2 linked regions of the Solanum lycopersicum genome follow. The protein of the gene in region 2 binds, or shares a complex with, the protein of the main gene of each other region. Links are inferred from orthologs where the notes say so. Each region holds a gene or a part of one and is shown on either strand. Other genes may lie near its edges.

Region 1 (7,570 bases), on a different chromosome or scaffold from region 2:
TATCTCTTAGATCTTGATCTGTCCATTTCTTTTGGGGTTTTCAATAGTATATCTCCAGTGAATCTCGGAAACCCCAAATTCACAAAATTAAGCTATTCGCGTTTAGGGTTTTCTTCACGATTCTTTCCAACACACACACACCACAGCAGTACAGTACAGAACAGAGTTCAAAAAAAAACCCTAAATCAACTTGCCATAATCAAGCTTTTCTTCATCAATCTTGTTCAATGTGTTCATCATTTTTAGCTTTATTTTTTTTTTCTTTTTTCTCTCTACTTTATTCACTTGCTGTACGCAGCTTTTTATGATCTTTGATAATTGAAGGTATTTTTTTGGCGGTGTGGGACCCAATACTGTGGTGGCCGTGTAACTCACGTTCACCGCTTTTGACGTCGTCGTTTTGTTGGTAGAGTAGTAGTAGTAGTACTTTTTTTATCGACTATGTTAGTTTTAAGGAAAAGACGGAAGGTTCCTTCTTTGTTAAACTTGCCAGTCAATACTCATATCTGTTTGTTAGCTGAACTAATTACTTTTGGCCCATAACTAACCAATAAATATATATATGTATGTACTATAGTATGAAGTGTGTAAGTGTGTACTACTACCTTACTCACATGATTTTTGCCACTATGGTAATTTATCAAAGCGTCTTTATATTTACGAGTTATGATAAATAATACATGCTAAAAAAATTTGAAATGAAATAACGTAGAGGAAATCTCGTTTATATTATTTATTTTTTGTTAAAGAAGATTTGAAGAATCTAAAATTTCTCCTTTGATCAAGGAATAAATATATTCAATGTAGGTAATGACTTAACAAAATTAATTACTTCAAGCTAATTTCTTAATAAGAAGACTTAAATATATTTGTTGAAATTCATATTTATTTTTGTTTATACAATTCATTCTTTTAACTTTTTAGGTACAACATGAAATTATATAAACATATCTTAGTGATATATATATATATATATATATATATATATATATATATATATATATATATATATATATATATATATATATAGATTTTTCATGATGAATGATATATACAAACTACGGTAAATGCACATTGAAAGACCAAAATGGTGAATTGGAATATTCTGCAGGGAAATTCATAATTGTTAAGCATTTTTTATTTTTCATGGTGAATGATATATACAAACTACGATAAATGAACGTTGAAAGACCAAAATGGTGAATTGAAATATTCTAGAGGGAAATTCATATGTACATGTATTTTGTAAAATTCAGAGGATTTCTAGAATCTAAAATTACTTATTTGACCAAGAAAAACAAATATTGACCAATTTATGATGTTAAAAATTGATAATAACATAGTTACTGTACTTGTACATCAAACACTCATTTGATCAAGAAAAAAAAAAGATGACCAATTGATGCGTTAAAAAATAGAAAATTTTCACATATAGCCATTTAAAAATAGTCTTATTACTTTTTATAGCTATAATTTGATAATTACAATTTGTAGCTACATGCTATAGGAAAGAGAGAGGTGAGGAAGACTGGGAGAGAGAGGGGGAAAATAGTGGGAGAAAGGTGAACCATGTATATGTAAATCGATTAGATAATTGTGTATTATACATATGCATTTGTATATATGGCAAGCGAGATTGGGAGAGGGAGGAGGGAGGCGAACAAGATTGGGAGAAGGAGGAGAGAGGCGAGCGAGAGAGGGCAGAGAGTGGGAGAGAGGTGAATTGTATATGCATATATATTAAATAATTGTATATTATACATATCTATTTGTATTTTTTGGCGAATTATACATATACAAATGTGACTAATACAAATTCAAAGTCAACTCACGTAATTAATGTACAATATTAATCACGAGTGATAATTATAGTAAATTATAGTTATGATGAGTAACTAAATACTTGATATACACTCCTAACACACATACAATATACATTTTAGATGATGGTTCCTCTTATATACATATATATTGGACTTTTATTTTTTAAACTCATCTACAAGTACGATTATAATTGTATACTTTTTTCTTTCTCAAAATAAGTGTTGTTTTGATTCTTTTTAGTTTTTGTGCTTATTAAAAAAATAGTATTTACCAAATTACCCTTATTTATTACTTTATCCGTTTCAAAAAGAATGGTTTCATTTTTTTAGTCTATTTTTAAAAAAAAATCTTGCTTTTTTTAGTTACATTTTAATTTCTATTTTTCACGTGACATGTTTAAGACCATAAAATTAAAGGACACTTTAATTTAGGATCACACGATTCAATTTTTTTTTTCTTAAACTCCGTGTCAAGTCAAACAAGTTTATCCTTTTTGAAACGAAGAGAGTAGTTTATTAAAAATCGAGCAAGATTAAAAGAGCAACTTTCACATATAGCAAATAAAAAATTCATATTTGTATGCTATAACAAAGTTTGCATAATTGTGTTCCATAGCAAACATATAAAATGTATAATTCGTTATACATATACCGTTGAAGCAAATTGTATAAAACGAAGTGTATAAAACAAGAAAGAGAAAGACACTTGGGCAGAGAACTGTATAAAAACGAAATGTATAAAACGAATTGCATTATTATAAGTGTATAGAACGATCATAAACAATTTGAATTTGTATAAAACGAGAAAGAGAGAAAGACAAAAGAGACTTGACAAGGAATATACAATTGAATCGAATTGTATAAAAAGAGAAAGAGAGAAATTATATACAATTTGAAAATTGTATAAAACGAGAAAGAGAGAAAGGCAAAAGAAACTGGGCAGGGGAGTATTTTTATTGTATAATTATAAGTGTATAGGACGAAAATACACGTACTTGCATGTGTATATACAATTTTCTCACACTTTATACAAACAGAAATGCAATTTATACATTTCGCTTCTGTTTGTATAAGTGAGAAAGGCGAGGGTGGCGAGTGAAATTTGGGAGAGTGGCGAGCGAGATCTGGAAGAGGGGAGAGAGGGAAACAAAAATATATGTATTTATACAATTTTCTCTGCTTTATACAATTAGAAACAATTTTTATACATTTGTGTTTGTATAAAAAGTGAGGAAGCGAGCGAGAGATTGTTAGGAGAGTGGCGAGCGAGATACTTAGGAGAGAGGCGCCTGACAATTTTTTGCAAACGTTTGCTATGGAGTACAATTAAATTAAACCATAGCTACTCCGTTTATTTTAGGTTATTAGTTTGCTATTATATATAATTTTCTCATATTAAAAAACATATTTTTAATATAAGGTGTATTTTTTTAATACTCACTTCGTTCCATTTTATGTGGCATTTTTGGCCCGGCACGGAGTTTAAGAAATTAATGAAAACTTTGAATTGTTTATCAAATCGAAGTAGACTCACTTTTCTCTTTCCTCAAACGTTTTAGAGTAGTACTATTTAAAATTAAGTAAAACCAACAAGAATAAAAAAGAATTTGTATCTGTAAATACTTACCATGTAAAAAAATATGATATTTTTTTATGGACCGACCAAAAAAGAAAATAATGTCGCATTTTGGGACAGAGGGAGTAATTAATAACTGAGACGGAGGAAGTATTGCAAAAAGAGGGCTTGTAGGATGTTATATTTGCGAAACTGCTCTAAAATTACGAAAATCAAGAAACAAATATGAATAACAAAGGCATAATGGAACATTTTTAAAAACATCAGGGTCTAACTGCCAATAAATTAACTTGCAAAGTTTGAAAAAAGAAACAGTAGGATATCATTTGCGTTATCCCCTTTTATCAGAGGGAGAAGAACACAATCGAAGGGCGAAAAACAATGGCAGCATCAACCCTGACTTTCAGTAGCTTTTCAACACTACAAACTTTCCCCGTAAGCTCCTCGTTCTATTTTTATCCTGTTTTATATTCGCCGGGATCTTCGCCGGTTTCCAGTTTGACTCTCCGTTCTTAATTTGTGAATCCGGAGAATGATAATTTGTCTTCAATGCAGAGAATTGCAGCACTTGAAAATAAAAAACGCGTGAACTTGTGTATTCGGGCGCAGGTGACAGTTCTTCGTAGCCGTCGCTATCTATTTTCAGCTGTGATTTTTTTTTTTGCACAAGTGTTTGTAACTTTTGTTTTTAGTTTGGTGTACAGAGTGCGTCGAATTCTAAAAATGAAGGCCGTGGAGAAAGGCGAATATGGAGGCGAAGAAAATTGGTAAGTTAAGGAACTCTGATTCGTGCTTTTTCCTGCTCGTTTCATTCTGTTTGTTTTAATGTTTATTTTTCGATGTGCACCATTGAATTTACCGGAATTAGATATAAGAGTAGGATGTTTCGTACGTATTGTGCTTGCCTTGTATGGGCTATAGTTGAAAGGATCTAAGCTATATGCACAATCGATTTTTGTTGTCAGTTTCACTGATTTTGGCAGGTTACTTACATCAAGTCAGGCTTACTATAGAATCATGGGCATAGACAATTGTTTATAGTTGGCTTTTAAGTGAGTAGATTTGCTTAAATATTCTTTACACCGTGGGTATATTTGGTGTAACTCAAGTGAAAACTATATTTGTGGTAGACATATTAGACTATGCTTGATATATTATTGTAGGCTGATAATACTTTTCTTCATCTTTGCTGTTGTTTTCGTTTCCAAGTTTGAACTTATATTTCTTTAAGTCATTTTGGATGCCTTGATTTGAACGATGAATTTCTTGGTTAATTAGTTTTTGAATTCTTAGAATTGTTACTTGAGATTGATTGTATCGTCTTTAGAAGAGGGATGATATCCACATTTGATCTGAATCAGACCCTTTTACCCATTTTATGTGCCATATCAAGCTAGCCATCTTTCCTTTTTGCTTGGATTTTATGTTTTTATTAACTACAAACCACTGTAGGCAAAGTGATAGATATTGAAACCTAACAGATCTCCCACATCAGGGGTTCAAGCTTTCTGTCAGTACATCACTTCTCTCTGGATGATAATGCAAAACCTAACCCACTAGAAATTGAAGGTAGGGGAAATGATGATTTCACTTATTGCATTTGTGTGTTGATCTTGTTTGGTGGACCCTGCAAGTAGATAATACCAAGTTTGGAGAGTGTACTGTTATCCTGACTAGTTGTATGTCCAAATGATTTAGGCTGAACACTAGATCCTGAGTATCTGTGGCTCGAGATGTCATAATTAAGGCTTCTGATTCAATAGGGGCTTTGTATGTATGCGGCTCAGTTCTGACTGGGTTCTTTTTAATAGTTGATCATGTCCATGCTCCGATATTCTGGTTTTGTGGTTGCTGCAAAGGCAAAATGTTTTACCATCTGTATATCATTTTTGAGCAGTAATCTGAATTTAAGTACATGTCATTCCTTGGTAGATGGTTCTTTCTCGTGTTTTTACCTGCTATTAGGTTTTCGTATGAGGCCCCTAAGTAAAGAGTGAAAGCTAGCATATTCCTCATAGTTTAAGATTTTATTTGTTATTTCTTGATCTGTGCATGTCATCCTTGCCTATAGGCATGCTAATCTTCTTTATGTCATTCCAGTTTTATTTGTTATTTCCTGGTTGTTCATAGAATAATGATATTTTTAAGGGGTCCTTTTGCTGATGGTATAGGAACAATTGATCTCAGTAAAAATCTTGCGTTGGTCCATAGGATAATATAGCGTATGGTCAACCATATACACAAAAAATTATCGCTTCATAAATAAAATGCAACATTTGGTTGGCAGTACTAAATGATACCTGAATTAAGTTATGCATGACTTTAATATTATTTATGCTTGATAGAATGTAAAATAATAGCACATGTAGTAGCAATGTAGAGATTAAACTATTTAAAGATAAATTGCCCTTTTAGACTAAGTAACTCATTTGTGACAATCTTTTCTTTACTAATAATCACTGCATAACAATTCTTTCATTATTGATCACATCATAAAGGATTCTTGCATTATAATCCTTACTAACCAATATGTGAACCAAACGTCCCCAAACTTTTTTACCCATATTTGTCAAGGTTGGGTTCTTGAGACAAACTTGTAGTTGTTTCAGCCTTTGCTAAAATGTTCTTTTTGTCCATCAAGCTTTATTGCACAACTTTAGGGTTTGTTATGTTTTCTTTTCCTCCACAAATTAGCCTTCATCTCTTGTTGTTTCTCACTTCATATAGTGAATCATCTCTTGTGGATCCACTAATATTTGGTGATCTTCTATGGTCTGACTAGGAATAGAGTGTATTTAACCTTGAAGGCATGCTTTGATGGTGAAAAGCTGACTTTATTGCCTAATCAAACATCTTTATAGTTCTTGAATAGAGGATTTGAGTTGATGAAAAAAGGGGATAGCTCAGAGAAAGTTATGGCAGAAATAGAAATAGATTTTTTCTTATGTTTGAAAACCTGAGTAACATATCTTATATCTTAGCTTTGTAGTAATAACACTGAGCTATTACTAATCCGTGAAACTAACTCCAAAAGTTAACAGCTAGCTTAGTGTCACGGACTTTTTGATTCGGACTAAGTTCCGTGCGGCACTAGACGGTTTACTCACGACTCTTGCACGTTCTTGCAAACTCTAGTAAGCCTAAAACTCAGATCGCTAAGAAAATAAGAAGTAAGACAGAACTTTGGAAGAAGGAACTTCTATTACTTGAAAATAATTGGATGCTTTACAAGTAAAGTAATCTACTATTTATACTACTCTAATGCTGCCTAAGAGTTAGTAAATAAACTATACAAGTTCCTAAGACTATGCCTACAAGACAAGCTTCCAAGTCTTCCAAAAAGGACTCCTAGATGCTCCTAGTCTGCCCCATGATCTCCACAAGCCTCTCAAAGACTTGTAACTTCTGTAACAGCCGCCCCACTAACTGTTGTAACAGCTGAAACTGCTGCCTCTTCAGCTGCTGCAGGCCTCCTTGGCTGCTGACCTGCGTGGTCAGCCTGCTCCCCTGCGCCTGCTGCGCCTGCTGGCTGCCTCGTTGGGTGGCGTTCGGCCTGAATGGATGGCGGGACGTCACAATCTCCCCCACCCCATGATGCGACGACCGCGACGCACTGCTGCAAGAACTCCTGAATTTTGCCTTTGAACTGCCACAAGTCTTCGTACTTCTCCCATGTGGCTTCCTCCGGAGTTTGTCCCTTCCAATGTACGAGAAACATGGCACTGGCCTGTTGTCCTCGTTTCCGCTTGGCTTGGTAATCTATGATAGCTTCAATCTCACGATCATGCGAGGCAGTAACGGTGATAGGGGCCCGTTGTGATTTGTTCCGGCTGGGATCGTCCTTGTCCTCATGATAAGGCTTAAGGACGCTGGCATGAAAGACCGGGTGGATTTTGAAGTGTGGAGGTAACTCCAATCTGTATGAAATCTTACCCACCTTGGCAACAATTTTGAACGGACCCTTATATTTCCGCACCAGGTTGTGATGCATGCCTCTAAGCGCCTTAAACTGCCTCGGATTAAACTTTACCAAAACCATATCACCTTCTTCATAGTTGGTGGGACGACGCTTGCGGTCGGCGAACTTCTTCATCCTCCTTGCCGCCTTGCTCAAATAAGATTTGGCAAGGTCGAGTTGCTCCTCCCAACCCTTGGCAAGGTTGTAAGCGCC
Region 2 (7,467 bases):
TGGCTCCACAACTACAAGCACAAGAGCACTGATTTTTTACATTCAAAGTGCTCAATTCTTCCCAAAGCTTTTTCATCCTGTTGTAGTAGACTGTTATATCCAAATTTCCCTGTGTGAGATCATTAATCTCTTTTTGAATTTGATACAGCTTTGCTCCATTTGTTTGGTCATATCTATCTTCAAGTTCCTTCCAAAGTTCCACTGAATCACTAACATACTCTACACTATCTGCAATTTCCTTAGTAAGAGAGTTTAAAATCCAGGAAGTCACCATGTCATCGCATCTCTGCCATTGATGCAACTGATTTGAGCTTGCAGTTGGTTTAACACAACTACCATCAATGAATCCAAACTTGTTCTTTACTGACAAAGCTCGCATAACTCCCCTTCTCCAGGATCTATATCCTGTTCCATCGAATTGAGTTGGTACCAACACCATACCAGGGCTATCCGAAGGGTGTATGTAGAGAGTGTTGTGTGCATCATCATTAACAGAGGTTCCTTGTGCTGAAGGAGCACTTTCAGGTCTTGTCATGATGAAGGATCGACTGGATCACAGGAAAAACAATTAAACAAGAAGAATCAACAACAAATTCAAATCAAAAGTAGCAAGAACAGCCTTGCTCTGATACCATATTAAACTGATCAATAATGGTGATTTACACCAAAACAGAAAGGAACCATAATAATCGATTTAGGAAGAAGAAGAAGAAGAAGAAGGAGGAGGAGGAGGCATCGTATGTGTTGAATTGTAGAAGATGCAAAACTACTATCTTCATGTATTGATTCTCATTTATATACAAGAGAATTGTAATCACATATCCAACAAATACAAAAGATATGAAATACAAAATGTGTGACTAACTAACTTTCAAAAATCTAACTAACTTGATGTGACATCCAACTAACACTCTAACTAACATAACTAACAAACTAATCATAATTATATTGTTAATACAAACATAAAAGGGCAAAGCCGTGGTTTGACCACATATTCTATTCAAATTTCAAACATAAAGGATTTTTATCATCTTCGGAGAAGAAAAAATAATAGTACAAGAATTTAATAAACAAAGTGACGGTTCACCTTTGCTATCATAATTGAGTGAAAATAAAATAAAATTGAAAGATGAATTCCTTAGCACCAACCGAGCATCATTAGTTTCCTTGAAAATCCATTGTAAGGCATTTTGACGAATGAAAAGGCTGACTTGGTCCAAAAACAAAATTTCCAACAAGCAAGGCAAGTTCTAAGAAAATAATAGACAAGTCCGTAAGCTCGTCTGACTAGTCTAGAAAACGGGACATAGAAAACTTCCTTATGAATCACACTTTAATTTATGTCATTAACAAGCAATATTTGTGATAGAAGTTGAACTACAGGTAAAACAAAGATGGTACATATAGAGTTTCAAGATTTTCTGCCAATTATGGCGATAAAGCTATGCGGAGAGGGACTGATCAACGAGCTATGCAAAGGTTATCGGATGTTAATGGATGGTGAGAAAGGCGTGATCACAATTGATAGCTTAAAGAGGAACTCTAAGCTGATGGGATTGCAAGATTTTAGTGATGAAGAATTGAAGAACATGATTAGAGAAGGAGATATGAATGGTGATGGAGCTCTTGATAAGATTGAATTTTGTATTTTGATGTTTAGATTGAGTCCTGACTTGTTACTTGTGGCTCAACAATTGTTACATAAAGCTCATCAATAACAAAATAATACTGTCCACCTTAAGTGATACTGTACTACTATTCCTGATTCATCATATTCATATGTAATGTTTCACTTCATTTGTCAATGTTAAACTTTTCTTCTTATCAAGTTAGTTTGCATACTATAATTCAATTAAATTTCACAGAGACGTTATTTTCTACCAAATATAGGTATTGCGTTAATAGCTTTATCCAACAAAGGACAAATAAAAAAAATCACCTACGATATTTTTATCACCCCAGAATTTTCAACCCTCTCCATTAGCCTAGCGGCCAAACTTAAGAACATATTTGGACCAAAAGAGGTATCAGTGAACCAAACTTTAAATGGAGGGTATATCTAAACCTTTTCTAATAGTTTAGGGGTATATTTGACCCTTTTCCCTTTAAAATATAATTGTCAAAATACCAACTTAGCTATATAATAAAACTAATTACTCAACTTTCATTAAATATCCCAAAAATATTCTAGGCCAAAGACCAATAAAAGCTAGGCTAGAAATCACCCTAAACAATTTTTTCCCCTCTCAAGTAAAATAAAAAATAAACCTAAGTTTGGAGCAAAGGTAGGTGTTTTACGAGACAATATTGGGTTATGGTATTCATTTGGATAAAGTTTAGAAATATTTTCGCCTCATGTCATTAAAAATATTTAATATTTTTTATGAAGTTTCAACTTAAAATAAATATTGGCTGTTGTTTTTATTCATTTGCTCTGCCCTCCCATCCTTCAAAATAAAGTTGAAATATTTCTTATAGGATTAGAACAAGTAGGGACTGGACAAACGGAACTTGAGATTTAGCTTCTTCATTCTCAGGTAGTCCTTTGTTGTATTTTTAAGAAAGGTAACAAAGTACTTGCGAACGGATTATTTATTATTGCTATAAACTTTGATTCTATGATTCACTAACCTTTAGCTCTGCTGTTTGCCATTGTTGTAATCATCAAGTTATAAACATAATTAATGCACTGTTGGTTGCACTTGTACTGTATCGACAGTCTGGTAACTTATGCACACAACCTGTTTGATTATTTGCTCATTAGACTTTTATCCTCTATGCTTCAAAATAGGTAACCTTTTAACTGTAGCCAGAAGCAGACTTAGGATGTTAAGCCAGTCCATGTGGAGTACCACCATCTATACTACTATTTAGTGTCGGTGGGTGACAATGCTGACTTAGTTCAATACATTTTTGTAAAAGTGGGCTAGTAGTACTGTGCTCAACAATTCAACATCAATGTTATGGCTTCTACAGTTGACTTTGTTTAACTACATTTTGAATGTTATGCTAGTCTTTTTCTGTTTGTCTTTTAGTTATGTACATAAGAATATGGAGTGGATGTTTTCTATTTTGTGTTTTGTAGAAAGGAGTTTGATAAAATCTGTTCTTAATTTTGATTGGTGTTATCGACAGGTTTTTTATATTAGGAGTTATCCCTAATAGAGATTTTGATTTTCCAGGCGAAGTAGTTAAGCGAGGGAAGATGGTCATCCATTCTGCATTAAATCTTAACTTTTGTGCTATTTCATCACTCTCTGCACTCAAAGCAGGGCAACATTGTAGTTCTTGCTCTTTTTCTAACTTCCTATTGCCGCCTCCTTTGAAACGTTTGACTTGCTTTGCCACTTCAAAAAAGTCTGAAGAGGAACATGTGTCTGATCCTAAGAATAACTCTGGTTCAAGGTCTAGAAAAGCTATAAGGTCCCGGGAAAGTAAAGTAACTCATAACGAAGACAAAGATTCTGCCAAGATCTTCCCATCAACAATCCCTAAAAAGCCAAGGCGTGGTCGCAGGAGCGAAGCAGCTGCAGTTGAGGATTTTGTTCGTGATTCATTAGAAAAGACATTTGCCTCTATCCGAGAGCAGAACTCTGATATGATGAAAGATACCGAGAATATCCTCAAAGATAGGGTTGATGATGACACTGAGTCTGATGAAAGTAGTGATGATGAAGATGACAGCAGTAGGGATAAGAAAGAAAAGAAAATGATCATTGAGGAGGAGGATCCAAATTGGCCTCTGGATGCAGACGTTGGATGGGGAATTAGAGCATCAGAGTATTTTGACAAGCATCCAATAAAAAATGTTATAGGAGAAGATGGAGTTGAGATCGATTGGGAGGGGGAGATTGATGATTGCTGGGTGAAGGAAATCAATTGTCTTGAGTGGGAGAGCTTCGCTTTTCATCCCAGTCCCCTCATTGTACTTGTTTTTGAGAGATACAATCGGCAAGTGGATCTTGTTTTGTTTACAAATTGAAGTCCTAAAGGATATATTCTATAAGCAATATGCAAGTCTTTTATGTTCTCTGAGACAATTGCTAATTGCACAGGGCTAGTGACAACTGGAAAGCTCTTAAGGAGCTGGAGAAAGCAGCCAAGGTGTATTGGAGTGCCAAAGAGCGCTTGCCTCCTCGGGTTTGTGAAACATAATCACTTCTCCTTACATTGTGCATTAGTAAACCCTCTTATCTTACATTTCCCCTAATTACTTGGTGTAGACTGTGAAGATTGACATTAATATTGAGAGGGATCTAGCCTATGCGCTTAAAGTCAAAGAAAGTCCACAGATATTGTTCTTACGAGGAAACAGGATACTATACAGGGAAAAAGGTACTCTTTATATATCCCCTCACTAGTTTGATAAAGTAATTGTAATCTTTTCAGCTAAATTCATTGTTATGTTGAATGATTGTTTACTTTGCAACTCCGGATAAATTTGTGCAGAAATTCGTACAGCTGATGACTTGGTTCAAATGATAGCATATTTTTACTACAATGCGAAAAAACCTTCATGCATTGATGATGCAGCTTTATCTCAACAGTCTTAGTCAACGGAGGTACTGATGCTGACTTGTCTAGGCTTTCATTGAAGCTCATAGATTAATGTCACTAAAAATATTTGAACTTCTAGCACGTCGCAGATTAAGAAAGAGGCAGTGGAGCATGGATCTATCCCTGTATAACTGGAACCAATTGTGGTCGTTTTGTCACTGGAAAACAATTGACCAATTGAGGGCAGAACCTTAGAAGAATGACTGGTTGAAACGAGATCATGGTACTGCTCGCTTGATGCTTGCAGGTGCTGATGTAATTAGCAAGTGGAAGGTTGAAGAAAAAGGTTATATCCTATAATGTGCTTAAATTAGTGCCACATTTATTACTATATAGAAGAGGATAGTTGGAAAGAGAACACTCAGTTGCATGATCTTACTTTAGTTCTATTTGCTTGTTTACATATCATACTAGCCCTAGATGTCTATAAATTACTTTCTGTATTTAATTAGAAAAGTTCATGCATCTTCTGTTACTTGTATCTTGACCTTGCTGGCTATAACTAAATTAGAGTTATTGTTTTCGGGGGAGACGTATGTCACGCTAGGTACGGAACTTTTTTCCATTAATACTAACCTAGATAGATATGAATGGATAATGTATATACCTTGCTTTATTCCATCTTAAGATAAGAAATTAAAGTTAAGATCAGATAAACAAGACACTGTATGTCCATTGGATGGGTTAACTGTGTGTGCTTTTATCTGTTTTAGGTTATATTCAGACACTAAAGTGCTTTCCTTTGAAAAGTTTTGGATACCACATTATCAGGAATATGCCCTGATTAAACATATGTTAAATCACTCAACATCAAACCTAACTAGGACCATTTGTAGATAATACAGTTTAACAAAACCTGAACTCTGAATAGACTCAACTAACAAACTTTCACCTAATTGACCTCTTAAATATGCGGTGATCTTGTTTATCTACTTAATTCTTGGTGGGTGAAGTCTGACGATATTGTGGTGGGAGGTGACAGATATTTGATGATACTCTCTCAATTTTAATTTGTTTTGTTTTTTCTACTTTCTTTCATAGTCCATTTCAACATATGTTTAATTTCGATGGCATATTTAAGGCTACAAGGTTAAAAGTTATTTTCGTATATTCTTCACATGTGTAATTTAAGACCGCAAGATTTAAAAAGCTTCTTTACTTTCTTAAATTTTATCTTGTAGGATCTGCACAGCTTCCCTTGTTAGTTGTTATGTTTTCTTATCCTTTGTACTTGAATTTGCTACCCTTGATTCGAGGGTCTTTTAAAAACATTTTTACCTCCACGTGATAGTAATAAAATTTGTACAAGTTTTATTCTCTTCAAACCTCATTTGTGAGATTTACTGAGTATATTATTATTATTTTACCTTGTTAAATTAAAAGAGATGAAGTATAACGAAGGAGTTGGCTAGAACACCAATCTAGAAAAAGTTCCACGCCCTTCCGAAGAACCTATTGTATGGTGGGACAAATAAAACCATTTAATTGATCAATAATTTTATAAGTAACATTTATTAAGTTGTGATGATAGGAATATACTGTAAAACGATCCAGACATTTGGCAAATATGAGAGGTTGTCACGAAGGCTTTAATTTTGTCATAACGGAAAATTTACAATTTAAAAGAGGTCCCATTTACCAACCTATGTCATTCTCAATTTTCTTAATTCCAACATCCATTCACTTATTTATTCTTGTCGTTTGCTTTTATGATTATCACAGCTATCGAAAATAGGCGTATATACCCTTTTATATAGTTGGAAATTATTGCATGCTAAGTATTAATAATTTATTAAGTGAGAATGAAAATAGCATCTTATATCAAGGATCGAAAAAGATAAAATGGATTGAGATTAGAAAAAGTAAAAATTTTATCAGTAATATTTTATACTATTAATTAATCAAGTTAATTAACTTGGAACGTATATACTATAAATCTCTCATCGCAGGATCACGAAATTCACGTGGTAAAAGAAACATTCAACTCTTTATATTGACGTGTTTTTATGTTATTGGATTTTAATGCTTTCTATAAAAAATTTAATTTGCATATTTAAGTGAGTTGACTTGTAACAGTTCCACTTCCACCGCTAGGGGTAAATCAGTAAATGAATATAATTTTCATAACGGTTACACTTTCTCGTGACTACAGACCGATATATTAATCAGGGGACCGTTAAGATAGCACCCTACTAAATTTTACTTCCAAAAATACCCCTTTTCATTAAACTGCGATTTTTTGAAATTTTGTTAACCAATGAAAAGATATTGAGTTTATTTTTAGGAATAACTTATAAGATTCAATTTCCTTTTTTAAGAGAAAAAGTGACCGACAAATCTTTTTGGATTAATTTAGCTTGAGAGTCCCAAACGGCAAATATCAGACTTGTCACTATCTAGCAAATTACTATATGTTTTTTTTCCTAATTATTATTTTCACCTACCCATTTTGAGATAATGTATTACGATTATTCAAGATATGATGTGAGTTAATATATTACTATTATTGATGTCATTTTCAAGGAGAATAATGTCATTTTACATAGTGATGCATGTCACAAGCTGAGCTCTTCAACCTCACAAGTGTACACCTTTTACTTGACCTAAACCTCATAAACCCTCTCTTACCTCCACACACACACTCTTCTATATCTGTAGATAGATAGATACGTATAGAAAGAGAATCTAGAGAGAGAAAACAGAAACCCATTTCCCAGAAAGAACACAAAAATAGAAATGGCAACTTCAACCCAGTTCCCGGACGATTTTCGGTGCCCGATTTCCCTTGAAATTATGTCCGACCCGGTTATTCTGTCGTCGGGTCACACCTTCGACCGCTCTTCAATCCAACGGTGGGTAGACTCCGGCCACCGGACTTGCCCGATTACCAAGCTACCCATTTCCGACCCG

What was found.
Region 1: thioredoxin-like fold domain-containing protein MRL7, chloroplastic (region 2) and protein PLASTID TRANSCRIPTIONALLY ACTIVE 7 share a complex: the UniProt entries of both Arabidopsis thaliana proteins name them as parts of the transcriptionally active chromosome (TAC) complex. The link is inferred for Solanum lycopersicum from reciprocal best matches to the Arabidopsis thaliana genes MRL7 and PTAC7.

Annotation. Positions count from the first base shown.
Region 1 is NC_090802.1:49,585,516-49,593,085, reverse strand, and holds the start of protein PLASTID TRANSCRIPTIONALLY ACTIVE 7, read left to right. Parts: upstream 1-3,680; 5' UTR 3,681-3,780; coding exon 3,781-3,834; intron 3,835-3,954; coding exon 3,955-4,008; intron 4,009-4,091; coding exon 4,092-4,166; intron 4,167-7,570. Other genes in the region: RNA-binding KH domain-containing protein RCF3, read right to left, coding at 1-26. UniProt on the Arabidopsis thaliana protein: Essential for chloroplast development, especially for thylakoid formation. Involved in plastid gene expression, probably by maintaining plastid-encoded RNA polymerase (PEP) activity.
Region 2 is NC_090801.1:60,372,677-60,380,143, forward strand, and holds the start of thioredoxin-like fold domain-containing protein MRL7, chloroplastic, read left to right. Parts: upstream 1-2,327; 5' UTR 2,328-2,537; exon of another isoform or gene 2,538-2,631; coding exon of another isoform or gene 2,632-2,665; exon of another isoform or gene 2,666-3,182; 5' UTR 3,183-3,205; coding exon 3,206-3,951; intron 3,952-4,055; coding exon 4,056-4,140; intron 4,141-4,223; coding exon 4,224-4,335; intron 4,336-4,449; coding exon 4,450-4,553; 3' UTR 4,554-4,562; intron 4,563-4,636; exon of another isoform or gene 4,637-4,646; 3' UTR 4,647-7,293; coding exon of another isoform or gene 7,294-7,467. Other genes in the region: U-box domain-containing protein 8, read left to right, coding at 7,294-7,467. UniProt on the Arabidopsis thaliana protein: Plays an essential role in early steps of chloroplast development. Involved in the regulation of plastid gene expression. May positively regulate plastid-encoded RNA polymerase (PEP) activity through binding to FSD3 and CITRX/TRXZ.